Cricetulus griseus: one gene and its partners. The main gene of each other region encodes a partner of the protein of the gene in region 3 in a complex. Links are inferred from orthologs where the notes say so. Each region holds a gene or a part of one and is shown on either strand. Other genes may lie near its edges. The genes, in order: CUNH9orf78, Gpkow, Snrnp200, Sf3b5, Crnkl1, Rbmx2 and Bud13.

The links.
Region 1: the proteins of Snrnp200 (region 3) and CUNH9orf78 are in contact, whole or in part, in a cryo-EM structure (PDB 7OS2), measured with the Homo sapiens proteins. The link is inferred for Cricetulus griseus from reciprocal best matches to the Homo sapiens genes SNRNP200 and C9orf78. Residues at the interface, in NP_054733.2 of Homo sapiens: Val1188, His1189, Leu1190, Gln1191, Glu1201, Pro1283, Ser1285, Arg1287, His1288, Leu1289, Asp1729, His1730, Asn1769, Tyr1770, Asn1772, Gln1774, Gly1775, His1780, His1784, Leu1788, Gln1791, Asp1795, Gln1798, Ser1799, Tyr1826, Thr1827, Glu1830, Leu1831, Met1834, Ser1835; in NP_057604.1 of Homo sapiens: Arg5, Lys6, Ile7, Phe8, Arg9, Arg10, Arg11, Glu16, Ser17, Glu19, Glu21, Asp23, Ser24, Glu25, Val27, Arg28, Lys30, Leu31, Thr34, Arg35, Val37, Gln38, Arg41, Arg43, Pro44, Asn45, Gly46, Val47, Ser48, Ala49.
Region 2: Snrnp200 (region 3) and Gpkow share a complex: the UniProt entries of both Homo sapiens proteins name them as parts of the minor spliceosome. The link is inferred for Cricetulus griseus from reciprocal best matches to the Homo sapiens genes SNRNP200 and GPKOW.
Region 4: Snrnp200 (region 3) and Sf3b5 share a complex: the UniProt entries of both Homo sapiens proteins name them as parts of the minor spliceosome. The link is inferred for Cricetulus griseus from reciprocal best matches to the Homo sapiens genes SNRNP200 and SF3B5.
Region 5: Snrnp200 (region 3) and Crnkl1 share a complex: the UniProt entries of both Homo sapiens proteins name them as parts of the minor spliceosome. The link is inferred for Cricetulus griseus from reciprocal best matches to the Homo sapiens genes SNRNP200 and CRNKL1.
Region 6: Snrnp200 (region 3) and Rbmx2 share a complex: the UniProt entries of both Homo sapiens proteins name them as parts of the minor spliceosome. The link is inferred for Cricetulus griseus from reciprocal best matches to the Homo sapiens genes SNRNP200 and RBMX2.
Region 7: Snrnp200 (region 3) and Bud13 share a complex: the UniProt entries of both Homo sapiens proteins name them as parts of the minor spliceosome. The link is inferred for Cricetulus griseus from reciprocal best matches to the Homo sapiens genes SNRNP200 and BUD13.

Annotation. Positions count from the first base shown.
Region 1 is NC_048599.1:142,695,026-142,699,118, forward strand, and holds the start of CUNH9orf78 (telomere length and silencing protein 1 homolog), read right to left. Parts: upstream 2,903-4,093; 5' UTR 2,819-2,902; coding exon 2,736-2,818; intron 2,421-2,735; coding exon 2,361-2,420; intron 829-2,360; coding exon 777-828; intron 1-776. UniProt on the Homo sapiens protein: Plays a role in pre-mRNA splicing by promoting usage of the upstream 3'-splice site at alternative NAGNAG splice sites; these are sites featuring alternative acceptor motifs separated by only a few nucleotides. May also modulate exon inclusion events.
Region 2 is NC_048604.1:114,159,095-114,163,262, reverse strand, and holds the start of Gpkow (G-patch domain and KOW motifs-containing protein), read right to left. Parts: upstream 2,898-4,168; 5' UTR 2,816-2,897; coding exon 2,646-2,815; intron 1,737-2,645; coding exon 1,576-1,736; intron 1,475-1,575; coding exon 1,350-1,474; intron 1-1,349. UniProt on the Homo sapiens protein: RNA-binding protein involved in pre-mRNA splicing. As a component of the minor spliceosome, involved in the splicing of U12-type introns in pre-mRNAs.
Region 3 is NC_048599.1:51,367,638-51,371,827, forward strand, and holds the start of Snrnp200 (U5 small nuclear ribonucleoprotein 200 kDa helicase), read right to left. Parts: upstream 2,866-4,190; coding exon 2,821-2,865; intron 2,404-2,820; coding exon 2,240-2,403; intron 1,002-2,239; coding exon 830-1,001; intron 1-829. UniProt on the Homo sapiens protein: Catalyzes the ATP-dependent unwinding of U4/U6 RNA duplices, an essential step in the assembly of a catalytically active spliceosome. Plays a role in pre-mRNA splicing as a core component of precatalytic, catalytic and postcatalytic spliceosomal complexes.
Region 4 is NC_048595.1:275,868,322-275,870,982, forward strand, and holds Sf3b5 (splicing factor 3B subunit 5), read right to left. Parts: upstream 1,285-2,661; 5' UTR 1,136-1,284; coding exon 875-1,135; 3' UTR 591-874; downstream 1-590. UniProt on the Homo sapiens protein: Component of the 17S U2 SnRNP complex of the spliceosome, a large ribonucleoprotein complex that removes introns from transcribed pre-mRNAs.
Region 5 is NC_048599.1:33,081,321-33,085,695, reverse strand, and holds the start of Crnkl1 (crooked neck-like protein 1), read right to left. Parts: upstream 2,901-4,375; 5' UTR 2,777-2,900; coding exon 2,726-2,776; intron 1,162-2,725; coding exon 1,009-1,161; intron 476-1,008; coding exon 384-475; intron 1-383. UniProt on the Homo sapiens protein: Involved in pre-mRNA splicing process. As a component of the minor spliceosome, involved in the splicing of U12-type introns in pre-mRNAs.
Region 6 is NC_048604.1:20,792,213-20,796,581, forward strand, and holds the start of Rbmx2 (RNA-binding motif protein, X-linked 2), read right to left. Parts: upstream 2,923-4,369; 5' UTR 2,884-2,922; coding exon 2,723-2,883; intron 2,555-2,722; coding exon 2,439-2,554; intron 168-2,438; coding exon 116-167; intron 1-115. UniProt on the Homo sapiens protein: Involved in pre-mRNA splicing as component of the activated spliceosome. As a component of the minor spliceosome, involved in the splicing of U12-type introns in pre-mRNAs.
Region 7 is NC_048597.1:158,032,354-158,035,959, forward strand, and holds part of Bud13 (BUD13 homolog), read left to right. Parts: intron 1-623; coding exon 624-726; intron 727-1,189; coding exon 1,190-1,328; intron 1,329-1,497; coding exon 1,498-1,682; intron 1,683-1,905; coding exon 1,906-1,987; intron 1,988-3,606. UniProt on the Homo sapiens protein: Involved in pre-mRNA splicing as component of the activated spliceosome. As a component of the minor spliceosome, involved in the splicing of U12-type introns in pre-mRNAs.

The DNA of each region.
Region 1 (4,093 bases), about 91 Mb from region 3:
ATCATTCTCCACCTTATTTTTTGTTGTTGTTGTTTTTTGGGGGGTTTTGTTTTGTTTTGTTTTTTGTTAGACAGGGTTTCTCTGTGGCTTTGGAGGCTGTCCTGGAACTAGGTCTTGTAGACCAGGCTGGTCTCTCACTCTGACTCCCAAGTGCTGAGATTAAAGGCATATGCCATCACCACCCAGCTTTTCTTACTTTGTATGTGACCATGTTTGTTAGTTTTGTGTGTGGACAGTGTATATACATGTTTGTGTGTATGCATGTGTGGTTGTGGAGGCAAGAGCCCAAAGTCAGGCATCTGCCTCAATCACTTTCCACCTTAAATATCTCAGACAGAGAACTTACTGATTTGGGTAGACTCACTGGCCAGTCAGCTCCAGGGCTCCAACTGTCTCTACTCCAAACCTTGCTAGGGTTACAGATGGATGCCATCATGTATAGCTTTTGTGCTGGGTACTAGGGGCCTGACTCAGGTCCCCAAACTTGTGCAGCAAGAACTTCAGCACTTTACCCACAAAGCCATTCCCCCAACTTATACTTTGAGAGAGGGTATCTTAGCTTTCTTATTCAGCACATCGTCCTAATCTGCCTCCCCAGTGCTCAGATTATAGGGATGTGTCACCATTCTCAGTTTTTCATGTGGGTGCCAGGAATCCAAACTTGGACCCTTGTGCTTGCACAGGAAGCACTCTGACTAGCCATCTCCCTGGCAGCATGGTTATACATTAGAGACACACTCACAGAAGAACAGCCCCAGAGAGGAGACAACACTCACCACCAGAGTAGTCTCCTCTTGAACCTTCTCTCCCACCAGCAGGGCAGCAGCACTGAGCAAAAGAAAACAGACAAAGAAATGACACAGAGACAAGAAGGAAATCAATCAATATGCTGGCTAGTTTGTTTTGTCAACTGAAACAAGCCAGAGTCACCTGGGAAGAGGAAACTTCAATTGAGAAAATGCCTCTATCATGTTGGCCTGTAGGCAAGCCTGAGGAGTATTTTCTTACTTGTGATTGGTGTGGGAGGGCCATTGTGTGCAGGGCTCCCTTCCCCCTGGGTATGTGGTCTTGTGTTGTATAAGACAGCTGAATGTAAACCTGGGAAGCAAGCCAGTAAGCAGTGCTCCTCCATGCTCTCTGCTACAGTTCCTGCCTCTGGGTTCCTGCCTTGTCTTCCCCCAATAACTGAATGTAATCAGAACCTTTCCTCTGCAAGTGGTTTTGTGTCATGGTCACAGCATAGGAAGCAATCTGGGACAATCAGGTTTGCAGGCTAGAGCACTGATGGAAGGGCATGCCCAAGAGTAGGTAGGAAAGAACACAGTGCTCAGCACACTGAGTGGGAGGGTGAAAGGCAAAGGAAGCAGCTGTGCATGTTCCTGCATAGCCATTTGATTTCATTTTAGCCTGGAAATCACAGTATAATTTGGGTTTTCCAGACAGGGTTTCTCTGTGTGGCTTTGGAGCCCATCCTGGGACTGGCTTTGTAGACCAGGCAGTCCTCAAACTCACAGAGATCTGACTGCCTCTGCCTCCCAGAGCACTGGGATTAAAGGTGCACATCACCACTGCCCGGCTCCCACAAAGTTCTTAAATATAGGGTCTATATTTAATTAAATATAGGGTCTATATAACCCAGGTTGCCCTCAAACTCCCAGGTTAGGATTAGAGGCATGCACCAACAACCACCACAGAAATCATTTATTTCTTAATTATACTTCTCTAATTTTTCTAAACTCTTATCTGTCAACACGTTGTCATTCACAATTCATCCGTGCAATTAAAAACTCCAATTAGGGCTGGAGAGATGGCTCAGAGATTAAAAGTACTGGCTGCTCTTCCACAGGTCCTGAGTTCAATTCCCAGCAACCACATGGTGGCTCATAACCATCTGCAATGGTGTGCAAGTATACATGCAGGCAGAACACTGTATAAGTAATAAATAAAATCTTGAAAAACAAAGCAAAACAAAAAAAACAACTCCAATTAGCAACAGGGTGGTGGTGATGGCTCATGCCTTTAATCCCAGCACTCAGGAGGCAGAGGCAGGCGGATCTCTGTGAGCTCGAGGCCAGCCTAGTCTACAGAGCAAGTTCCAGGACAGGCTCCAAAGCAATACAGAGAAACCCTGTCTGGAAAAACCAAAAAGCAATTAGTGACCTGGAGTAGACTCTGATACCACCAGGCTCAGGGCATGTGGCAGTTACACATTTGAAAAAAAACTGGTCCCCTCTTCGACCAGTGCAAGGTGTATGTCTAGAGAAAGAACTATGTCGAAGGAGATATTTGTAACTGAGACCCTAGCTGGAAGTATCTGTGTCATCAATAAATGACGCCACCCCCACCCCCATGGTACCCACCTCACCCCGTTTGGCCTCTTCCTTAAGTTCTGCACCTCTCGGGTTTCTTCAAGTTTTAACCTGGGGGGAAATGAATAAAAAGCAATGCACAGGCTGAGAGATCCTCTGCGGAACTCAAAGCTTAACTCAGTTCCGGGGACATCCGTGTCTCTCGGCCGAGTCCCTGGCACTGTGGATCACCGGCAGTCAGACCCATGCGACCCCGGAGCACCTTTCCGAGCTTCGGGACCGGGGAAATGTGGCCTTATCAGCAGGAGCCTCTGAAAGACAACAACCCTGGCTCCCGGTCAGTGGTGTCAGCGCAGTGCCGGCCGGTAGCCAGTCCCAAGGCTGTTTCCCTCTTCCTGGGCCGTGGAGGTCATGCCAAACACGTACCGAACCTCCTCTGATTCCTGCTCATCTTCCTCCGACTCCGAGTCAGCCCGCCGCCGGCGGAAAGTCTTCCCAGTGATCCGCATAGCGGCACCAGATCTTAGGAGCGGCGTTACCTGCCGCGTAGTGCCGGGAACCTCTTTCTCTTCCGGCGCGCAGAAGTGTCGTCAGAGGGCCGGCTGCATGCAGACCCGCCTCCGGGTGTCCAGGCCGCGCCCCAGCAGCATAGCCACCAGCTCCCAACTCCAAAAAGCAAGGGCAGGTACAGCCGCGTGGCCACGCCCCAGCGCCGAGACTGTGCCCTCCACCAGCAAGACAGTCTTCGAACCACGTGGCCACGCCCCAGCAGCACGGCCACTCCCCCTACTCCCAGCATGCATGGGCACTCAGTACTCGCACGGCCACGCCCCCAGCACGCACGGTCCCGCCCCCTAGTAGGCAGCGCCATGTGACCCCGCCCCGTCCTTGGCATAGGCTCTCTCGATTGGACAGCTGACGGTAGGGAGGCGGGGCACGACAGGCAGAGCCACAAGACTCTGCGCGGCGTCGCGGTGGGCGCGCTTGACTGACAGGCGGCGCGGTTGCGACGGCAGGTGAGTTCCGGACGGCTGATGCCTGGTGCGGTGGGCTGGGCCGCTAGAGCAGGGACGATCGCGCCGCCGCTGCGAACTGGGGAGGCCTGGCTTTGCGGGGCAGCCGCGATCTGGGGAGAGGTCCCCGCCGCCCACCCTCCCATCGACCGGCTCCTGTGTCCGCCCCAAGTCCCCACGGCCCTGGCTTCTCCTGAGCAGGCCGCACGTCGCTCGGAAGGCCAGCGCGAGGCCACTCGGGCTCTGGGCCTCAGATGTGCAAATTTATTTCTCACGGACAAAAGCTGAGCGCCTTGGCGGGGGTGAATATCAGTCCCGATACCAACTCCCCCGTACCAGGGTGGTCTGCTGCTACTGGTCCCTAGGAGGGATGCCACTGACGTTCAGAGGCCTCTCCAAGGGTGTGAAGCCGGGGACTGCCCTTCGAGAGCTCGGGGTGTCTCCTTTGGCCTGGAGGACTCGCTCTGTCCTACACACCTTCCACCGCCAAGATGTTGCGAGAGTAGTTAGCTTTCAAAGGTATCCATAAACACTTAGGAGATGGATAAGTGCATGCGTAATGGCTCACATGGGACTTATAGGGACTCCTTAATTACTAGTTTCCTCTGGAGCAAAGCACTTCTTAACTGTGGCAGGGCTAAGCATTCTCTCCTAAAAGTCTCCGGTCTAATCTCACGAAGTAGATGCAGTTGGGTCTGTCTTCCAACTGAGGAAGTTAGAGAAGGCTGAGGCTTAGAGAAGTAACCTGTGCTTCAAGTTACACAGCTGGGA
Region 2 (4,168 bases), on a different chromosome or scaffold from region 3:
CAGAGCTCTAAAGTGAGATCTGTTTAAAAAAACAAAAAAAAAAACAAAAAAAAAACAAGGGAGCTGTAGAGATGGCTCTTCCAAAGGACCAGGGTTCAGTTCCCAGCAATCACATGGAAACTTACAGCTACCATGGATATAGAGTGAGATCCTGTCTCAAAAAAGGGGTGGGGTGGAGAGAACAAAAAGCCTGATTGATACTGGTGGAGAAACGAAGACCACAAGTTCAAGGTCATTCTTGGCAACATAATGAATTCAAGGCCAGCTTGAACTACATAAAACTGTCTCAAAAAGAAAAAACCCAAAGCACATCTGAAGACTGATGAGAATAGTTCAGTTGAAAGATGTATTACAACAAATTTATGACTAAAAACTTCATTATTGGCGGGGCGTTGGTGGCGAACGCCTTTAATCCCAGCACTCGGGAGGCAGAGGCAGGCAGATCTCTGTGAGTTCGAGGCCTGGTCTCCAGAGCGCGTGCCAGGATAGGCTCCAAAAACTACACAGAGAAACCCTGTCTCAAAAAACAACAACAAAAACAAACAAAGCAAAAATGTACTGAGACATATCTCTTTCTTGTCTCACCAGACCCTAACCTTCCAGGCTTCATTCCTGCCACTCTTCTGAGTGTCCTTACCGCCTCTATCCTGAACTTAGGCTACTTGCTTCCCTCCTTACCTTCACTATTAGTCATATTTGGGTCACAGCAGCCAGAGGGGATCCTGTTACAACCCTTGTCAGCTCAGAATTTTCCCATAGCTCTCATTTCACTCACACTAAAAGAAAAAGTCCTCCCCGTGGCTCAGAAGGCCCTTTTGATCTGGTCACCTCTGCCTTCATCTATGGCCTGACCCCTCATTCATTCCAATCCAGTCACACTGGTTTCCTTAGAGTTCTTTACATACTACACGTTTAAAAAGAACAAGGAAAGAAGGAAAAAAAAGAGGAAACAAGCAAAAGTGGTTCCAAAGAGTGTGTACTCTTTCTTTCTTTTTTTCTGAGAGTTTCTCTGTGGCTTTGGAGGCTGTCCTGGAACTCACTCTGTAGACCAGGCTGTTGTCGAACTCACAGAGATCTGCCTGCCTCTGCCTCCCAACAGTGTGTACTCTGATAGCATTTGTATTTCCCATCCACTCTGCTGTCCACCTCTATCAGATAATACCAGAATTCAAGTACTTTTTGGGACAGCCTGCTATCTATTTGTTAAAGCTTCTAATAAGGATGGAAGGGAGAAAGGCTAGTTGGCAAGGCTCTGGGACACACATGCACAGTTTCCCTGCTATGTGCAAGGAGGCTAGCCAGACGGGGTAGAGGCAATGATGGGGGAGGATGGCAAAGGGGCAGCTCACTGTCTCAGCCTGAGGTTCGCTGTCTGTTCCTTCCCCACTGGGATTGCATCCTTTCTGGATCATGGGAATAGTGAGCGTGGGGTCAACACCTGCATTCTCCCTCTCCTCCAGGGACTTCTTGGATTCTAAGGAAGAATGGGAGGATCAATGAGGCCATACTCTATCCTTCCAACTTCCTCCTTGTCTACCTGTACTGGGGCAGAGCAAAGGGGGAGGTTTCACTTACCCTCAATGAGCTCCTTCACAGCCTGGGACAGCACACCATCTGACATTAATACAGTCTTAGTTTCTGAGGATGTCTTAGGGCTCTTGGCCAGTGGTTGCCTCCGAGAGCCATTCTGGATCAATGGGATGACTAGTTCCTTGGGGGCTTCTGGAGGGTTCACACTGATGTGGGGACAGAGAGAAAAGGTTAGGAAAGTACAAGTGTTAGAAAGTGGAGATATCTACACCCAGCCGAAGGACCATGTTCCACAAGTTATTTTTCCGCAGGTCCTCCCATTTCTTTTCGAAACAGTTATCTCACTATGTAGCCCAGTCTGGTCTTATAAACTCTGTCCTCTTGGTGCAACCTTTTAGTGCTGAAATTACAAGCAAGCATCACCTCTCCTCGTGTCCTCAGCTTTAAATGTGTCTTATGGAAATCATTCCTGGACTCTCAACCACAATGACTTACAAATCACCATCTTCGGTCGAGATTCTCCCCAGTTTCAGGCTAGCAAACAGCCTTCCGGACAGCTGTCTTCCATTAGTCCCTCCCTTAGGTCTTTCAGATCAGTTTCTTAATTATGCTGCTGATGGCCTCCCCAAACCTGTATTTGCCGCATTCTCCAAATCGGAGAAGCTTCCACTATTTCAGTTGAGACACTAAAAGTCTTGTCATTCTCCCTCCTTTTCCTTTCTCAAAACGCACATGTCCTCAAGTCCCAATGACTTTTTCTCTGAGGAATATATACCTTTGGTTATCAGGCGCCATTTTCACCCACCTCTCTAACAAACCTCCTCCTTGCCCTTAAATTATTAAATTTAATAATAAATTAAATTTTAATTATTTTTCTCTCTTTTTAAATATAGGCTCTCATACAGCCCAGGCTAGCGTTCAACTCTTGATCCTCCGGTGCCAACCTCCCGGGTCCTGACATTAATAAACATTTGCCACCACTCCCGGATGCCTCCATAAACTTCTTGAGGCCGTGTTTGAGGCCTTCTAAATCACTGTCATCAGGGCAAACAACTCGTATTCTGCCCTCCGCCCACCGCACCGATTTCCAAAACGTGAAAGACCCAGCGTTTCACCTCTGTAGCTCCCTTCCTTCCACGGTCGTTAAGAAATCTTTCTCCTCAGAGGCCCGTCCTGTGCCATCTCTGGGGTCTGTCAGTCGCCTCCGGGCAGACGTGCGAGTGAAACCGAAAGAAATCGGGGCCGTTGAAGGGGCAGCCCGCGGCACACTGTTTGGGTCCGCCATCTTGTCCCGAGTCCCAGGCTAGCGCACTGCTTGCTGGGAAGTTTAGTTTAAGCTCAATTCGCTAGGGGCCGGCCGAGACGCAATGCCTCAAGGACAGGTCTTGAAGCCGTGGGAAAAACCGATCACGCTGGTAAACGGTTTGAAATGTCATAGGAACGCGCCGCGCCGCGCATTCTGGGAAATGTAGTTCTCAGTGATATAACCGTGGTGGCAGATTGATTCTCCCTAGGTTTTCAACCATTTGTAATGCAGGTCTAGGGGATCCGACACTGTCTTCCGAACTCCGCAGGTGACACACATAAATAAATGCAGGCAAAATGCTTATATACACAAAATCGGGCTGGAGAGATGGTTCAGAGGTTAAGAGCACTGACTGTTCTTCCAGAGGTCCTGAGTTCAATTCCCAGCAACCACATGGTGGCTCACAACCATCCATTATGAGGTCTAGTGCCCTCTTCTAGTGTGCATATCTACATGGAAGCAGAATGTTGTATGCACAATAAATAAATAAATCTTTAAAAAATGCCTCTGCCTCTGCCTCTGCCGGGCTGGAATTTAAAGTGTTCACTACCACGCCCGGCTTACTTATTTTTATTTTGTGTGCATTGGTGTTCTGCCTGCATGTATGTCTGTGAGAGGGTGTAGGAGCTCTTGAAACTGGAATTACAAAGCAGGAGGAATTGTCACAAGTCTAAGACAAACTCTATATGAGCTGCCATGTGGATGCTGGGCATTGAACCTGGGTTCTCTGGAGGAGGAGCCGGTGCTCTTCACCTCTGAGCCATCTCTCCAGCCCTGGAATACTTTCTATGTTGCAGTTTTCTGAGCTTTTGGATGAGGCAATGTCTTCTGGTCTTCGGCATAAAGGACAGGGAACTGCCAGGCTGGGACCCCTTTGCCTGGGTGCTAGCTCTTTCTTTCTTTCTTTCTTTCTTTCTTTCTTTCTTTCTTTCTTTCTTTCTTTCTTTCTCTCTCTCTCTCTCTCTCTCTCTCTCTCTCTCTCTCTCTCTCTCTCTCTCTTTCCATCCCTCCCTCCCTCCCTCCCTTCCACCCTCTCTCTCCCTCTCTCTCTTTCTTGGTGAGAGCAGGACTGTTGTTGCAAGTTCAGCCTTAACAACAGGTGGTGGTTGGGAGGGTCAGAATATATATTCTTTGAAATTCCTCCCTCTCCCCTTTTTAGACAGGGTCTCATTATAAGCAATGAGTGGCCTAGAACCCACCGACATTTGCCTGCTTCTGCCTCCTAAGTGCAGAAATTAAAGGAATGTGCCATCACATCCAGCCCCCATATATATTTTTTTTTTACCTAAATGACCCTGGGGATTTTCCATAACAATATTATAAATTATCAAA
Region 3 (4,190 bases):
AAATCTGCAGCATCTCAGGCTTTGATCACATTCATCAACAAGATACAATGGCAATGTGCCAGTAATCCTGGCACTTGGAGAAACAACAGGACCATAAGTTCTAGGTTATTCTTGAATACACAGTGAGTTTGAGGTCAGCTTGAGCTACATGAGACCTTGTCTCACACAAACAAATAAAATAAAATTTAAAAAATAAGCTTTGATCCCAGCACTCAGGAGGCAGAGACAAGAGGATCTCTGAGTTTGAGGTCAGCCTGGTTTACAGAGTGAGTTACAGAACAGCCAAGGCTACACAGAGAAATCCTGTTTTGAAAAACCAAAAGATAAAAATTAAAGACTATAGGGAGCTGCTGAGGATTTAACACAGTGGTACCACATGCCCTTAAGCGTAGCACTCGGAAGACAGAGGCAGGTGGCAGAGGCAGGCAGATCTTTGTGAGTTAGAGACCAATCTGGTCTACAAGAGCTAGTTCCAGGACAGCCTCCAAAGCTACACAGAGAACCCCTGTCTTGAAAAACTTAAAAAAAAACAAAAAAAAAAAAAACAAAAACAAAAACAAAAACAAAAACAAAGCATGAGAGATCCTGGAGTCAGTCCCCAGAAGTGGGGGGGGGGGGATTAGGTAGATGCTTTTCAGAAGCAAAACAAACTTATACTTTCCACCAAGGCCAACAACTTAGGTTTGATCTCTGAGTCCCACACAGATGAAAGTTGTCCTGATTTCCACAAACAGAATAAATATTTGTAACTAATAATTTAACCAAAATTCTTGTGCATCACCCTTTCTCTTTCCAAACACAAGGCCTCATCCTCTGGTTCCAGCCTCACCTGGTCTCCAAGAGCAGCCTGGATAAAGCTGAGCAGCACCTCATAGGTCTCTCGCGTCTCCTTAGTTTTGGGCTTATAGATGATGCCCACCATTTCATCAATGCCCTCTGACAGCAGCGTATAACCTTTCATCTTGTTGATGTCATGCCGGTCCTCATCACGCTTTCTTCTCCTAATGAACACAGGGTGTGATGCTCAATGGGAGAACTTTGCGCCCCCAAGTCAAGTTTACCTTTTCTTTTCTTTTCTTTTCTTTTCTTTTCTTTTCTTTTTATAATTGCAATTAGACCAACTTTAAATTAGAAACCAGCTTCATTTACATGTCAATCCCAGTTCCCTCTCCCTCTCCTCCTCCCCTGCCCCCCACCCCCGAAGTTTACCTTTTCTATACATCTAATATGTGCAAGCAGGAACATGAATCAAAATAAGTAATTCCCACTTGACTTTAAGCATTTGAAGAAGTATTTATTTCTTTATCCTCATGAGGAGATAATATAATGGTATTTCAACTTTAAAAAACAAACAAACAAACAAAACCTTTTATTAGCCAGAGAGGCTAGGCTCCAGGGGAATCTACTTCTATGACTCCCAATAAACAGCTAGAAAAGAAGCCAGATTCTGAAAAGTGAAGGACCAAGGAATGTTTCTTCTCAAATTTAACAATTCTCTCAAGTCTCAACAACTCTCCCCAATTATAACCACTCAAACTAAACAGGGCCTGGGGACTGTTAAGACTTCACAGAAAGAAAAAGGAGAAAGAAAGCACAGTAGGAGAACATGCAACTTTTGAAATGGATCTATCAAGATGAAAAAACGGGAGAGACAACAAAACAAAAGCATCAGGAAGTGGACAACAACCGGAGGGAGTTAGGGTAAGAAGCTTTTAACAGTGGTAGTGGGGCTGAACTGCTGAGACAAGAGATTAACAAGGGTCTGGAAAATAGTTGGTGACGGGGCTGGGGAGAAGGTTCAAGTAGTTAGAAGCAATACTGCTTCTGCAGAGGATCAGAGTTCAGTTCCCAGCCCTCCAAACTGGGTAGCTCACAACTGCCTGAAACTCCAGCTCCTATGTTCCAAACTGTCTTCTGGCCTTCACAGGCATTTGGATGCATGTGCACATACTCACAAAAAAACACACATGCACATGATTAAAAATGAAACAGATTTTTAAGAAAAAAATAGCTTGAAGAAAATTAGCATCTACCTATGAATCAGAAACAAAAAGTACTAATAGATTTTTGTTCCATTTCATTGCACCCAAGTCCAAAGAAACTTTAAACCTTGAAGAGGTTTTCATTCTCTTGTGCAAACACCGCTGATCTTCCACAGGTACTTCATCAAAACTACTGCTCAAATGTTCAAGATGCGCTTTAGACTACAAGGAAAATATAACACCCCGTTGGTACCTACTTGGCCCGTCTTTCCTCCTGCATCTGTGGTTTGGTGCGTTGAGCCTTATCTCCCATCCGAGTTCCCTCCAACTTCCCAACCAGGGACAGAACCTCTCCTGTCGGTTCATCCCGGCGGGTCCGGTCAATAAGTGAGCGGTCAGCTTGGAGCACAAGATTTGAGTTCTGAAAAGATCATACTTAATCAAAACTTTAATATATAAATAGCTTCGGTTCCTGTTATCACAGTGACACCTGAAGATGGAAAAATACTGGGAAAAAGGAATAATCCCCTTAAGAAGAAACAGTATAATAAAACGCCAAGCACCGGACTGTCTGGTAAAGTGAACGATCAACGTTCCTAACAGTAGTCACAATAACCCACATTAGGTGAAGTGTTGAGCAGATTTGGGGATAACGAGTAGGAAGGGGCGGTTTGAGGAGACTGGGAAAAAACCTCCCGAGTCCTCACGCGCCCTAAACCCCACTAGAGTTATTCCGTCGTGTTTTAATCCAGCCTTCACCCAGATCAGATATTCCGTCCGTGTTTGTGGCTACCCACGGCCTCCCTCGCCCGCAGCCCTCCGCCGAGACTTCACGCACCGCCTTGTACTCGTACTGCAGACTGCGGGCAGTCACATCCGCCATGGCTGCCGATGCTCCGGGAACTCAGGGTTCCACTCTCCACACGCTGCGAACCGCCTCAACAAACCGCGCCGGCCCAGCAGGAACGACGCAGGACAAACGTGCGGGACAGAGAAAAGCAACGGACTCCCTTCCGCTTCCGGGACGTACGCTAAAAGTGATACTTTCCGGCGACTACGCACCGCCACTAGGTGGCGGTTGCAGAAGGTAATACATCCGGGTCAGGGATTCCGTGGACCTAGGAAACACGCTCCTGCGCAATATGGTTCCAAGGACCTATACGTACGCAGAGTCACGAAGCCACTTTTAGTGTGGTGTTAAAAGTCCCTTTCTGTAATACACTTTTGCTTTCTCAGTCCAGCGGTCCCGTCAGGCAGGCAGGCAGGCATGCTTGCAGGCAAACGGAAGCTTAGGAGCTCCGTTTATTAAGGATGAGAAAGTTGAAGGAGCAAGTTAACATGCTTCTAATAACTGACTGGATTTCTCTTCTGTATTGAGAAATTGGGGAAATGTTTGCTGCCCCCAACGCTTTTCCTCAAGAGTCAATCGCTGTGGCAGCTGACTGAAGGTGAAGGAAGAAATATTTGCACCCAATGATCTGTCACAGTCCATGTCAGGATTATAGATACGGATTATTTGTTCTCAATGTGGCACAAACGCTACATTTACTAAAGAAATATATGAAAAGTCTATTCAGATATACTATTCAGATGTATTAAGCAGTAATGATACATTTTATGAAATGGCGGTATCTAATCTTTTAATAATTCTCTACATTGAAAACAAAACAGCTATTTCTACTTTTCCCTTTAGGTTTAATAAGCACAACTGACCCTTAGGCCTGTGTCTTAATCCACTGAGCCATCTTGCTGGCAATTTTTATTGTTTAATCTGTTTATCATTACTTTCGTTTTATTCTATGTATATGGGTGTTTTGGCTACGTGTATATCTGTGTCTGAATGTATGTTTGTGTGTCATGTATGCGCAGAGCCCAAGAAGGCCAGGAGGAGGTATTAAATCCCCTGGGACTGGAGCTACAGATAGGTTAGGAGTTGCCTTGTGGGTGGTGGGGTTGAAACCTAGGTCCTCTGAAAAGAGCAGCCAAGTGTTCATAACCATTAAGCCATCACTCCAGCCCTTCTTTGGCTTTTGAGAAAAGATCTTTTGGAGTCCAGGTAGGCCACAAACTTGCTCTGAAGAGACTTCTCTGCATGCTATTATTATTGTTGTTATTATTATTATATTTATTATTTATGTTTATAATGCAAATAATATATAGAATATTTATATATTATATCTTAACATATTACTAACAAAATATTTATAT
Region 4 (2,661 bases), on a different chromosome or scaffold from region 3:
TACAGAGTACTGGAGTGCTAGGATTAAAGGCGTGTACCACAACGCTCAGTGAATGGCTCTTACCGGTTTTTTCATGTGATCTTGAACTCAAGAAATCCTTCAGCCTCTGCCTCCTGGGTGCTGGGATTAGAGGTGTGTGCCACTCCCAGCGACTCATTGCTTTTTTGGTGTTCCTTCAGTAACTTAAAACACACCAACGAATGCCCTATTAGATGGTAAGCAACTTCCCATGCTCTGCACGGTTTTTCTCTGGATTCCGTAAAATCTTTTCTCAAATGTCATCATCGCAATATCTTAGCATTACAAGCATAGTATTTAAAATTGCGAATTCTTCAAGCTTCCTCAATCTCCCTGCATCATCTAGCCCTGGTCTATTTTAGCCTTTCTCCAAATTGGCATAATGTATGCCCCCAAACCTTTGGAAAACGCTCTGGTGAACACTGAATGAAAAAAAAAAATCCGTTCTTCATTTCTGAAGACACACAGACTAACTCTCAAGAAAAACAGATGCAACGTGCAACATCTTGAGACCTTGGTCCACAGCACCCTCCCCAGACCCCACCCAAGGAACACAGCAATCCACACCAAAAGATAGGACAAATCCTAAACTTTATAAACATGGCAAGAAGGACAACCAACTACTGAAAGGCAGACTCATTAGAAACGCGTCATCACTCCCGTGGCGTCTTCTCCCTCGCTTGCCGGGTCTAGGGTCGCTCCTCCCGCACAGTTCCCGGGGGTCCCGACAGTCTCTCGGTGACTTGTTCGGAATCGTCCACAGGTAAGCAGGCCAGGCGTGACAGACGATGAAGAAGCCCGAGCAAGGAGGACCGGCCCACCGCTGGCCGGCGGGGGAGCCTGGGAAGCGCTCGCCTCAGTTCTCCTCGGGCTTGTCCGCCGGCGGCCCGCTGGGCTGCAGCATCTTCTCCATCAGGTTGAAGCGCACGCGGGCCTTGCTCTCGTTCTCGGCGATGGCGAAGTAGTTGAGGAGGTCGAAGTGACCCATGTAGGAGCAGTAGGAGTCCCGGTGCTGGTTCACAAGCCATTCCCACTTGGTGGTGTCGGCGTGGCCCGTACCGATGTACTTGGACTGCAGATGCTCCAGCTGGCTGTGGATGGTGTACCGGTCCGTCATCTCGCCGCTCCGCTCTAGGCTTCCAGATCAGGCCGCAGACCCGACGCTACCCGCTCCGCGTTCAAACCTGAGAGACGCCGCCGCCGCCGCTGCCGGCCCGACACGGAACTTCTATCTGTGTAGGCGCGGGAGAAAGACGCCACTGTGGCGCCTGCGCAGACGCTCTTCTCCCAGGCGGAAGCGGAAGTGAATCCTGCCGCGGCATTGGAGTTGCCTAAGAAACATTGGGCCGTCCCCTCAGCGAGCCCGCCTACTTGGAGAGCGTTGCATGATGGTCTGCTGAGTGGCTCTTGGGTGATCACGTTCTAACTCCGGCGTTGCATTCTGGGATTTGTAGTCCAAAGAATTTGGCGTGTTTTTTTCTTTTGGTTTGGTTTTTTGTTTTCTTTTTCTTTCTCTCTCTCTCTCTCTTTCTTTCTTTCTTTCTTTCTTTCTTTCTTTCTTTCTTTCTTTCTTTCTTTCTTTCTTTCTTTCTTTCTTTCTTTCTTTCTTTCTTTCTTTCTTTCTTTCTCCTCCCTCCCTCCCTCCTTTCCTTCCTTCCTTCCTTCCTTTTTTTTCTTCTTTTTTTTTTTTGCCTGACTAATGTAGGATGGTGTCCAACGATTACGACTACAAGTGACCAGGAAAACTATCTCTTGTACCTAGAAGCTCACACGGACCGCCCTTGGTCCCAGCTTTGTCCCTTAGGATCTGGGTAGTGGGAAAAGTTCTTTGGGTCCTAAATGCTTGGTGATGAGTGTCAACACCAGGTGTCTTCCACATCAAAATCCAGGCTCCAACTCCTCACACCACCCAGGGGCCCGAGCCCTCCAACCAAACAACCTCCTAACTTTAAGGCTGCTTACAATCATTTTCTGGAAGTCAGTTGTGTCTCAAGACAAGTACTCTCTCCTTCTGTTTTTCTGCCTGGTTACACCTTATGTTCAACTTAGAGGTTATGTATCTCCTCACAAAGGTATAAACTACTTGAGAAAAAGATACTGTACTTCTTTTCTGATATCCTTTGAGGATATTATATAGCTTGATGGAGATCGTATTCTTTAAAAGAAAAATCTGATGAATGGACAAAGAGCAATCTCAGTCAAAGAGACTGATAATAGGGGAGGGCCCAACCTATTACAGTGGGGACACCCCTGGGCTGGTAGTCCTGAATTGAATAAGAAAACAGACTGAGAAAGCCACGAAGAGTAAGCCATTAAGCAGCACCCCTCCATGGCCTCTGCATTGGCTCCTGCCTTCAGGTTCCTGCCCTGCCTACCTTAGATGATGAACTGTGATACGGAAGAGTAAATGAAATAAATCTTTCATCCCTGAGTTGCTTTTAATTATAGTGTTCTGTCACAGCAAGAGAAACTTCAACTAAGACAAGTAGAATCTGCATGAAAATTCTGTTAGTAAGAAATAAATCAAAAATTAGTGCAATTCCAGTGCCATTAAGAATGCCTCAGGCAGTGGTGGCACACACCTTTAATCCCAGCGCTCAGGAGGCCCAGGCAGGTGGATCTCTATGAGATTGAGGTCTGAAG
Region 5 (4,375 bases), about 18 Mb from region 3:
GGGACATGGTCACAGCAGAGCAAGGTTATGAGGGGGAGTGTAGAGAGGCTGGCTGCTCAACAGGAAGTGAAGGCCACAATCTTAATCTTGACAACAGAGTTCAACACAACACTATTTTTGAAACATGAACACAGAGAAGACAGATAAAACCCTGCTTCTTTAGTTACAGGGGTACTAGTGGCAAGACACACACACAGAACCTCCTGCGATACTCCGTGGCTGTCCTTCCCAGTGTCCTCAGCACCCGCAGAAGAATGTGAAGATGCCACAGAACAGAAGCTGGGAGGTTCAAACACAGTACAGTCCAATGCTTGACTTTTCCTACTTTTTCACAGGACAGTTGATACTATTTTATATGCAAATACTACACATGGCAATTTTACCTTTGAATTTCCTTTAGACTTTCTTCCCATTGTGCGTATTTTATCCAGTTACTAATCACAGTCCTATTTTTTCTTATGTTATCTTCAAAAGTCTGAAAGGCAAAATGGGGGTAGGGTAGTATATTAAAGCAAAAATGACTTCGCCTTTTGCCTTGCAATAAAAGTCACTCATTTCATTCTTTTTAAGAGAAATTATATCCTGGATGCTGAGAAACGAAGCTCACTACAGATGGTTACAAATCACTATCTTATAATTATTATCACTATAAATATCACTATTTATACAATCTCTAAAGTTTATGGAGACAACAAAAAAACTGTAGATGTAATGAACTACTGGAAGAATTATTGGTAGTTTTTGCTGTTGCCCATAACAACAACTAGTACGTTAATATACTCTACTCTCATTCCTAAGAAGAAAACAATTTTTAACATTACCTTCAAGTGCTCTCAGTAATTCACAGAATTTGACATTAACTTCCATAATATTAGTGGATTAGATAATCCCAAATATTAGCCTGAGGTCAAATCACATGGGCTCTCTCTGAGTTCTCTCCTGGGCCCTGGCTCCTACTGTGAGTGGTGACATGGACAGGTATGCTCGGTGCCCTCCCAACAGACTCACCTTCCTTTTTCGTAGCTTGTAATCGTTTAGTTCTTCTTCATCTGTGATCTTCTGCTGAGGCGGAGGTGGGAGGAGCTCGAGTTCTCTTTCTTTAGCCTCTCTTAAGAGCTGCTCAGCAGTTATCTGTACTTCGGCTGGCGCTTTGTTTTTCACCTTTTAAGGAAAAAAAAAAAAAAAAAGACATTTCTATTTTGGGTAGTGTTCTCCACACAAGATTTGAAAACCCACGAACATTTTCCAGGATGTGAACTTTGTAAGTATGAGGACAACCTGACCTCTTTGAATGACATGCTCAATTCTCCAGGAGACAGAAGGAGGGTGGAGGTGGGGCATCCTGCATTTTCTATCTAATGTATGACATCTATGATAACAAGTCCATAGTGAAAATCTCAAAAGGAAAAGCTGACAAAATAGCAGCATTTTTCCCTGTTAGAAGAGTAAAATAAGTACTACTCTCTAGCGTTATAACCTGTTTACAGAATTCCCCTACTTATTTTAACCCCTTTAGTGGACAAGTTGGCGTTCCCATGACATTTTAAGTCAACTGTAACTTATTAAGTTCCAGTCATTAACATGTAAACTTCTTGAGCACACACAGCTCTGTTGTTCAACACAGTAGGTACAAGCCAAGCGTGTTCAGATTTAGATGGACCTTAAGTGCAAGAATACTGTTCTAATTTGCTTTTTTACTGCTGTGATTAAACATCACCAAAAAAAAGCACTTGGAAGGAAAGAGTTTATTTGGCTTACACAACTGAATCACAGCCCATCATGAAGGGAAGTTGGGGCAGGAAGGGATACAGAAGCCATTTAGGAACACTGCCCACTGGATTGATTGCTCAGCCTGCTTTCTTACAGTACTGAGGACCACCTGCCCAGGTGTAGCACTCCCTGAGAAAACTGGGCCCTTCACATCTATCATTAGCCAAGAAAATGCCTTACAGACTTGCCCACAAGCAATCGGATGGAGGAATTTTATCAGCTGAGGTTCCTCTCCGCAGATAACTGTTGCTTATGCCAAGGTGGCAAAAAACCTAGCCAGCACACCCTGGCTTTTATGACTCAGGATGGGAAAAAAGCTCCCACATTAGACTTTTACAATAATTACATGTGGAAATGAGAACTTGTCTCAGAATAAAAAGGCCACGTATAAGAATCAGACAAGAGAAGACCATACGTAAAGGTAAAGTGCACGACTTGCCACTTATCAAGCATTGGTGAAATATTAGTCACCGTTGGAAATATAATAATCTACCGTTTAACTTAAATTATGCCATTGCACAGAGCCCATTCCTCCCATCCCCTCCACTGTCCAACTTTCGCGCAGCTTTCAAGTTTCAGCTTCCTCCACAAAGTTTACCTTCAAGTTTACTGACAACCCTCTGGTTCTTGCCCATGGCATGGTCTACGGTGCCTGAGTACCTCCATCAAACTTGCCATTTCGCCCTTCCTCTTGTTTTACTCCAGCAGTGTGTGTGTGTTGGGGGGGGGGCGGTCCCCAGAGCCTAGCAAAGCTAAGAGTTTGCTTAACCGAACTGGTCACCCGCGTTACAAAAACACCATCCTAGAACGAAGGCTGGGCAGACACGAGACGAGCTCGGAGTGACAAGACCCCCGCGCCACGCCACCGACCCAGGCAGGCAAAGAGCTCGCTGCCCCGAGTCTCCAGTGCACCACACCACAGATGCTCTGCTTGGGGCCCTTCGCGGTCGCCTACCTTGGCCACTTTGGGAATCCGCTGCTTCCCGGCCGCCGTAGAGGCCGCCATGTCTGCAGCCGCTGGACCGGAGCAACTCCGACTCACTCCTGAACCTCAAAAATCGGCTTCGAGAACCAGCCCACACCGGAGAACCTGCCCACAACAAACTAGATCCCGGAACCGGAAGCGGAAGTCGCAAGACGCTCTTTGACCGCCGCACGAGTCGGGCGAAACGTCACGTCGTTTCCGTAGCAACCGTGTGCGCGTCCTCTGTGGAGCCACACGGCGTGCAGGAGCTGCCGGTGAGGTGGGTATCGTGGGCTGCGCCGCAGGGTCGCAGGGCCCGGGAGGCGAGGGCGTAGCCAGATCTGTCTTCGGGATGCGTGCATCTGTGGCAGTGGCACCTGCGAGGGACGTGGGAGCCCATCTCGGATGTGGAAACTCGGTGGAGGAGGGAAGAGCGACGAAGGAAACCACAGCCGGCTAGCAGCTGCCGGAGCAGCGGTGCATGCTGGGCTTTGTAGTCCAACCCCACTACCTCCGCCTCCAACCCTGTCTCTGGCTTCTCCGCTATTGGGCCAAGCTTTGAAACGTGGATTTTTAAATAAAAAGAGGTAGTTTTGGAACCAGATGTTAAGGAAAGATGGAAATACGTCAGTAGCAAAACACCTAACCCTATGGTCAGAAACTGATGTGTACATTTTTAGTGTGTGAATTTGTTTTCATTATTTCAATTCCGTTATCCTTAATGCCCTTTGGCGATAAAAAGATAGAAATAACTATTTCCTTAAGATTGAAAAGCCTGCCGGGCAGTGGTGGCGCACGCCTTTAATCCCAGCACTCGGGAGGCAGAAGCAGGAGGATCTCTGTGAGTTCGAGACCAGCCTGGTCTACAAGAGCTAGTTCCAGGACGGCCTCCAAAGCCACAGAGAAACCCTGTCTCGAAAAACCAAAAAAAAAGATTGAAAAGCCTATGTAAAGTGCTCACTAGATGTTAGTAAGTATAATATCTGATGTACCTTCAAAACAGAATGATTGGGCATATAGTTAAGAGAATTTTTTAAATTTAAGAAATTTGGGGTTGAAAGTAAAATTCAAGGGAGGGTGAGATTTCCCTGCTCCCTGCTTGCCCACCTCCAAAGAGCTCTCCACTATCCATTTCCCACCAGGGAGGTTCATTGTCAGCATCGGTGAATTTTCATCAACACATTGTCAGTTAAAGGTGACTATGTTTCATACAGTTCACCCTTGTACAGTCTACTGTTTAGGACAAAGGCAAAGCAGTCTGTACCTGATGTTTGAATAATCTGCAGAGTTCCAAGCATCCATAATCTCCTGGGTACCACCTTTTCATCCCCCCATCCCCAGCATACATCTGTCAATACTCATCTGGTTTTTGTTGTTGTTGTTGTTTGTTTTTCGAGACAGGGTTTCTCTGTGTAGCTTTGGAGCCTATCCTGGCACTCACTCTGGAGACCAGACTGGCCTCGGACTCACAGAGATCTGCCTGCCTCTCACAGAGATCCGCCTGCCTACTCACCTGTTTTGGTTTGGTTTGGTTTTGGTTTTCTGAGAGACAGAGTTTCTCTTTGTAACAACTGTGGCTGTCCTGGAACTCACTCTGTATACCAGGCTGGCCTTGAATTACAGAGATCCTCTGCTTCCCAG
Region 6 (4,369 bases), on a different chromosome or scaffold from region 3:
TTAGAGGTATACAACTCCATAGCCAGCTTAAAATACTGTTTTTGCCTTACAAAAATAAACTACAGAAGCAAACATCTCTATGCACCCAGAAGGTAGGAAATGAAAGAGGACTTACTGTGAGAACACACAGATGATGTCTCCTTCTGTCAGTTCATAAGGAAGCCCTCCTAGAAGAAAACAAAGCACAGTTCAGGTCAGCAAACATTAATCAAGTGTTTACTGCATATTATGCACTGGGCCAGATACTGGAGGTGCAGAGTGAGTAAGCCCTGAACTCACAAAAATCAGTCTAATGCAATGACAGAGGATGAAAAGTGACAACAGTCCAGCAGAAAAGCAATTAACTCTTGGATCTCTGTGAGTTTTAGGCAAGCCTGGTCTACAGAGTGTGTTCCAGGACAGCCAGAACTACAAAATGAGATTGTCTCCAAAAACAGGAATAAAAGTGATTAAGTCTAAGTGGAAAGGGGTTACCACTTACCAAATTAATTTTTTTTTTGGTTTTTTGAGAGAGGGTTTCTCTGTGTAGTTTTGGAGCCCATCCTGCCACTCGCTCTGGAGACCAGGCTGGCCTCAAACTCACAGAGATTCACCTGCCTCTGCCTCCCGAGTGCTGGGATTAAAGGCATGTGCCACCAACGCCTGTCTTCCAAATTAATCTCATTCAGTCCTCACATCCAAACTCCTATAAAACAGAAAATTTCCTGCACAAGACTCAGATTTCACAAACATTGAGTTCAAATATGCTATTGTTATGCTCACCTATGTGTAAACTAAGAATTTTAAAGAAAACTGTTAGGCAAGTCACAGGAAATTATTTGCCTTCCATGTTTTTTACCTCCTGTGTAAAAAGGGGCTATCAGTATATTTGCCTCACAAGAATGTTATAAACACAAAATAAAACGGTGCATATAAAATGCTTAACACAATATCTAGTGAAATAGCCTCTTTCAAAAGTCAAACTGCAGGATTATTGGTTGTGACATAAAGTGAACAAAGGATAGTAATATTGTTCCCAGAGATATTAAGAGTTCCCCTTTGTAGGCTCTTAGTCTTGTCAGTAATTTTAAAACAGACTGAGGAAGCCTGAGATCCATTTTATTAGCATTTGAGAGAGAGCTGATGGGGAGGTGAGTTGTAAAATTTACCAGCTACTGGGAGGAGGGAGATGGACAAGACGAAGAAATACGTAGTTAATCAGAAGGCCATGCAGGCAGGCATGCTCAAAAATGGCGGCTAAGAAACAGCTGCAAGGGAACGGGAGAGCCTGTAGACTTGAAATAAGAAAAAGTCCAGAGTGTTAGGGCAAGCATGCTCAGGATTTCAGACAATATTCAAAGAAGGGCTAGAAAGGGAGGGGATGGATAAGTTAGATGTCAGAACAGCAGACAGATGTAACAGCAATAGGTAATAAGTGCAGTGAGGAACTCCTGCGGGACATTGCTTCACTAAGGGGATCATTTTCCTTCCATGTCCTCAGCATGTCTTCAGGTGAATGAGCTTTCCTGACAGGTGACTCCTGGCCAACTTTATTAAGTCTTAAGGAAGGGACACACTAGTATGTGGCAGTTAGGTTTGCTTAAAATGTCCCATCATATCCACCCAGGACCAAGAGTGGAATGTGGACTGTATTTTCACCAGGTGTATAGCTTTCCCTTAATGAACACGCCTAGATACCGCGACCTTTTCAGATGACATTCTAAATTTTAAGCAGGAGTAAAGCTGATTTTGAGTGAGGAGTCCACACGAAATATTTTCCAGATGGCTACTGTCTGTCCAGGAACCCAACAATCAGCAAAGTACTAGAAGCAAAAGTCAATCACAGGAGAAAATAGTTTTGCGGAGGGGCAGACAGTAAAAATGAAAATAATGACCACTAATCTCATAGTGCTGCAGTATGTAGTATGTAACCTTAAAGAACTCTAGTCACCTGTCCGCACCGCACTTTCTTTGGCCTCGTAATGTGTTGGCTGTGGAGTTAACTGTCTCTGGGCAGCTAAGTGGAAAGCCTTTAAGTGCAATGAATGGTAAATACCAATTCTAAGAAGCACTGGCTAAGCCGGGCGCTGGTGGCGCGAGACCTTTAATCCCCTTTAATCCCAGCACTCGGGAGGCAGAGGCAGGCGGGTCTCTGTGAGTTCGAGACCAACCTGGTCTCCAGAGCAAGTTCCAGGATAGCCCCCAAAGTCAGGGAGAAACCCTGTGTCGAAAAACCAAAAAAAAAAAAAAAAAAAAAAAAAAAAAAGAAAAAAAAAGCACTGGTTATCAGAAAAGATAACTGGAAAAGGACGAGTAAAAGAGAATAAAAAACGGACTGTGGGCAGACAAGCTGTGTGGGTGACAAGCGTGGTCAGCAGGGGCTCTAAGTAACCGGAGCGGGAGGGGGGTGGGTCGCAGCGACTCCGAAAGGCACTGCTAGAGAAAACTGTGGCCCTCACCAAGAAAGATCCAGGCGCTGTCCTTGTATTCCGAGTGCCAAGACACCTTTTCCGCCACCCCGAGTTGAGCCTCTCGCTCATTCAGTTCGTTGATCAGCTTCACCTTAGTTAAAGGGCTGCGCGGGAGGAGAAGACTTCGTTAAAAGTTCGTTTCCTCCCAGCCTGCCTTCTTCTCCCGCCCCGAGGCCTGAAGGCCCCACCGCCCCGGCGAGGACCCGTCACCGTTTGTGGGCAACTGTCCGCAACCCACTCCCCCTTCCCGACGAAAAAAACGAAGCCCTTACTTCATATTCGCGCCTTCGCGCTCTTCTCTCAAGAAATGAGCTTCCGGGTGAGGCGACGAAGGGCGGGCACAACCGATCACCCAGCTCAGATTGGAGGCGGCCGAACTCGAGGCGGAACTTCCGCTGGAACTTCCGCTCCGGCACGTTAAGACTTGGCGCATGCGCAGTAGCGTGGAAGCCTTTCTCGCGCTTAGTGCCCTTTGCTCCTGTGGCGAAGTAGTTCTCCAGTCAGTTAGTCAGGGAACTAGTTCCCTAGTGACGTAGACCAGGGGCGGGGTCCGGGGTTTTAAGGGACCTTCAGCTTCTGGATAGTTTTTGTTTGATTTAGCTTTAAACGTTTTCTGAATGAAGTAGTGTGTCTGATAGGGTGACGAAACTCCCTGTTCTCTCAATCTAAAGCCCTGTTCTTTCCCTCCATGGCAATTGCTCAAAAATAGTCCCTCAAAGCCTCCCTGTTTGGGATTTAACAGTAGAAAAGTAAAGAAAATAGCTATGAGAATTGTTTCCCCGCTCGAATATTAAAGACGGACCAGTGTGCCTCTACAGACCCAATTAAATACCCACAGATTTACGTAAGAAATGTGGTCTTACGCCGGGCCTTGGTGACGCACGCCTTTTATCCCAGCACTCGGGAGGCAGAGGCAGGCGGATCTCCGTGAGTTCGAGACCAGCCTGGTCTCCAGAGCGAGTGCCAGGACAGGCTCCAAAGCTACAGAGAAACCCTGTCTCGTGATCAACACGCCCTACTGGATTAACTGACTTTATTTTTTTTTTATTTTAAACTTCATTATTTCAAAAACGATTGCAAGTTAAACACTGAAATTAACCAGACCCAAAGACTCAAATGGACTTCTATACTGTTAGAATAGCATTGAGAACAGAAGCTGTGGAACTTCACATTGGATTTTAGGCTGTCACTATCAAATATATTTTTATTCACTTGTCCACCAACAAAACCAAAAAATATGATATCATTAGAGCTATAAGAATTTGATTTATATCCCCTTTTACTTGCATTCAGTCCATCCTCACCTAATATTTAGCCTTTCTTGTTCTTTTTTCTTCATGTTACATGGCACTCACATGTACATTTGTTCACGTATATGTGTATATTGTTAGCTAAATTCTGCATATAAGGGGGAAACATGCAGAGTTTTTCTGAGATTGTATGACCTCACTTAATACACTCTAATCGCATCCATTTTTCTACAAATTTTGTGATTTTATTTTTTCTTGATAGTTGAATAGTTTGCCACCTTTCATATATGCCAAATTTTCATTACCTATTCTTATGTTGATGGACAGTTAGGCTGATTCTAATTATTTACTATAGTGAATAAAGAAGTAATAAACATGAGGATGCAAATATCTCTATGACAGGGAGTTCTCTGGATATAAGCCCAGGAGTGAAATATTAGGGTCGTATGGTAGTTCTAGTTTTAGTTTTTTGAAAACTCTCCAGATTGATTTCCACAATGGCTGTATTGGTTTTCACCCACCCCCACCAGAGAATGAAGGTTCTTTTCTCTCCACATCCTCCCCAACATTTGTTTTCAGATTGATTGACCATAGCCACTCTGACAGTGACATCTCATGGTGGTATCTCAAAGTAGTAATTTCTATTTCTTATTTAAATTTTGTTTCATT
Region 7 (3,606 bases), on a different chromosome or scaffold from region 3:
TCCTACTCTGCTGCTTACTATCTGTGAGACTGGGCAAGAAACTTGATTTCTTTAATCCTCAGCTTCCTTCTTTGTGAAATGTGCATAAGTGAGTTCAAGGCCAGCCTGTACTGTATGGGACCCTATCTTTTATGTATTTATTTATTTTGTGAGACAGGGTTTCTTTGTGGCTGGCTGTCATGGAACTAGCTCTGTAGACTGGGCTGGCTTCGACCTTACAGAGATCCACCTGCCTCTGCCTCTGGAGTGCTGGGATTAAAGGCGTGCACCACCTCTGCCTGGCTGGGACCCTATCTTAAAAAGAGAAAGAAAACATGCACATTCTTAGCCCCTGCTTTTATGTGTTGTGTGTTTGTGTTTGTGTTTACTTTAAAATTTGATAGTATATAGTATTTCATGCGATTAGAGATTTCTCTCCTATGGTGTGAGCCTATGGTCAATAATGAGAATATGAAACCAGAGGTTTTGGTTTGATTATTGATGATGATCAGACATACATGCAGCTGGCTGCCTCCTGTTTCACTGACATTGGCTGTTGCCTCTTCTCTTGGACAGGCTGTACACACATGTATTCCTCTTCTCTTGCACAGACTGCTCACATGTATTCCTCTTCTCTTGCACAGGCTGCACACATGTATTCCGGAGCAAAAACTGGGTTGGTAACTGATGTTCAGCGGGAGCATCAAGAACTCAAAAAACAGGACCAAGACACCACGACCCTTGGAGGTACAAACATGAGCATTCGGGGGCTTCGTTTGGCTCATGTAGCTCTCTGTCTTTTCTGTTTTTAAGTGTGGCATGTTGTATTTGCTAGCTGAAACTTTTCACTGCTTCCGTGTCTATGCTCTAATTTTTGTTTTTAAGTTTTTTTAAGACAGGGTTTCTCTGTGTAGCTTTGGAGCCTGTTCTGGAACTAGCTCCTGTAGACCAGGCTGGTCTTGAACTCACAGAGATCCGTCTGCCTCTGCCTCCCGAGTGCTGGGAGTAAAGGTGTGCACCACCACTACCCAGCTCCTGCTCTGGTTTTTGTGCATAGTCCAAGTGCTTCTTTCCCTTCCCGTGTGTGTATGTTAGACATACTGCAGACTTTTCACCAGCACCAAGATCTCAGGCAGCTGCTTCAAGTACTGGAGTGTTATTAGATTGTGATGCCTGGTGTTTATCTTAAAAATGTGATTTCCCTTCATAGCCCAGTTTGAATTTGCTGAAACTGTATTCCGAGACAAGTCTGGTCGTAAGAGGAATTTGAAGCTGGAGCGCCTGGAGCAGAGGAGAAAAGCGGAGAAGGATTCAGAGAGAGATGAGCTATATGCCCAGTGGGGGAAAGGGTAAGGGCGCCCTGAGCGAGGTGCTGAGTCTCCTGAGAGACCAGTTGAGATTCTGGGCTTTTTACCTTATTAGTTAGCCTCTGCTGCTACAAAGAGGGAGTTCTCCAGAGTAGCATTGTGATCCCTCAGTGTAGGAGGAAGTTGTCAACAAGGATGCTTTTTTGCCCAGGCTTGCCCAGAGCCGGCAACAGCAGCAGAATGTAGAGGATGCAATGAAGGAGATGCAGAAGCCTCTGGCCCGCTATATTGATGATGAAGATCTGGATCGGATGTTGAGAGAACAAGAAAGAGAGGGGGACCCAATGGCCAACTTCATTAAGAAGAACAAGGCTAAGGAGAATAAGCAAAAGAAAGGTGAGACTTGGAGTTGCTGGAGCTGGAGATGGTTGAAGAGAGAGTTGTCAGAGGGATATACATAGCTTCCCACAGAGGAGGCTGCCCACACAACTGTAATGCCTGTTGAAAGTTTGGGTTCAAAACAGTAGGCACTCTCATGAAGAATTTTCTCCCATTGCCATCCAGCTCTGAATCAAATTATGTCAGTAGCTAATTTCTTTTTTCTCATTTCTGTCTTTAGTGAGACCTCGATACAGTGGTCCTGCACCTCCTCCCAATAGATTCAATATCTGGCCTGGATACCGCTGGGATGGAGTGGACAGGTAGGTGTGATTCCTCTTGCTTTCTTGCTTTGTCTTCTCTTCTGCCTGACTTTCTTTCTTTTCTTTCTTTCTTTCTTTCTTTCTTTCTTTCTTTCTTTCTTTCTTTTTTTCTTTTTTGAGACAGGGTTTCTCTTTGTAGCCTTGACTGTCCTAGAACTCGATCTGTAGGCTGGCATCAAACTCACAGAGACCCGCCTGCCTCTGCCTTATGAGTACTGGGATTAAAGCTTTGCACTACCACTGCCCAGCCTTCTTCTGCCCTGGTCTTAACTTTTCTTCTCTGTTTTTCTTTCCACCTTTCCTTTGGTCTTTGTTTTTTTTTGTTGTTTTTTTTTCCAGATATCTGATATCGTTTAAAATACCATTTATCACTATACTATATACAATATTTATGCTGCTTGATGTGGTGTCCTGTGGTCTTTGTTTTTGAGAGTGTCTCACTACATACCCAGGCTGACCTCCAACTCATGCACCACGTCTTCAAACATTAGTCATGGTTAGTATTTTCTAAGGGTTAGAGGACAGGTGAGGCTTGTGTGCTGGAGCCCTCTCTGAGTTGTGTCTTCAACATTAGTTCTCTTTGCTGTCCTAGGAGGAAGTCCCTGGTAATCTCTCAGCCCTGCCACCTCATCTGGTTACTCACTAGTGTCTCACTTGTATACTCAAGCTTCCTGACTGTCAGGACAGCTTTTGCCTAGGGTCTTCCCTTGCCCACACTGAACATTAGCGTTTAGTGTCATGATTTCCAAAGTTTTAAATCTCAGGACCTTTTATGCTCTGTGCTAGTGTTTTGGCTCTGTGAGTAAAGGCATTTGTTGCCAAGCCTAATGATGTGAGTGCAAGTCTTGTTCTCTTTCCTCCACACACTAATTTGAGTGTGGGTGTGGGTGTGGGTGTGTGTGTACGCACCTGTATGAACAAATAGATAATTTTAAAAGAATTTTAAAATTCTGTTGAGGATTCCAAGAAGTTTTTGTTTTGTGGATTATATATTTATAGTCACTATATTTAAAATTATTATTATTTTTTTTCCGAGACAGGGTTTCTCTGTGTATCTTTGGAGCCTATCCTGGCACTCGCTCTGGAGACCAGGCTGGCCTCGAACTCACAGAAATCCGCCTGCCTCTGCCTCCCGAGTGCTGGGATTAAAGGTGTGTGCCACCAACGCCCAGCCAAAAATTAAAATATATTTTAAAAGCACTTATTCACTATATAAAATAGTAAAGCTTCTATATGCTAATATAGTTACTGTTACTTTTAATGAAAAGCAGTTATTTTCTAAAAAAAAAAAAACCAGAAGGAGAGAATTGATTTAACTTTTTGTAAATATAATAGACAACTGGGTTCTGAATTTGTGTATTGTGATGTGTTTAGCTGGGGTGCAGGAACAAAGTACAGCCTGCCATATCACCAGCAGAAAAGGGAGGTGCGACAGAAAGAACAAGCTAGCTCCTTTAAGGCTGTTATGTGGGTCTGAAACATGTAAAGAACTTTTGATACTTTTGCATTAAAACTTATGATTATTGTGCCCCCCCCCCCCTTGAGACAGGGTCTCTCTGTAGTCTTGGCGCTCACCTGGCTCTCACTTATTATAGACCAGGTTGGCCTTGAACTCATGG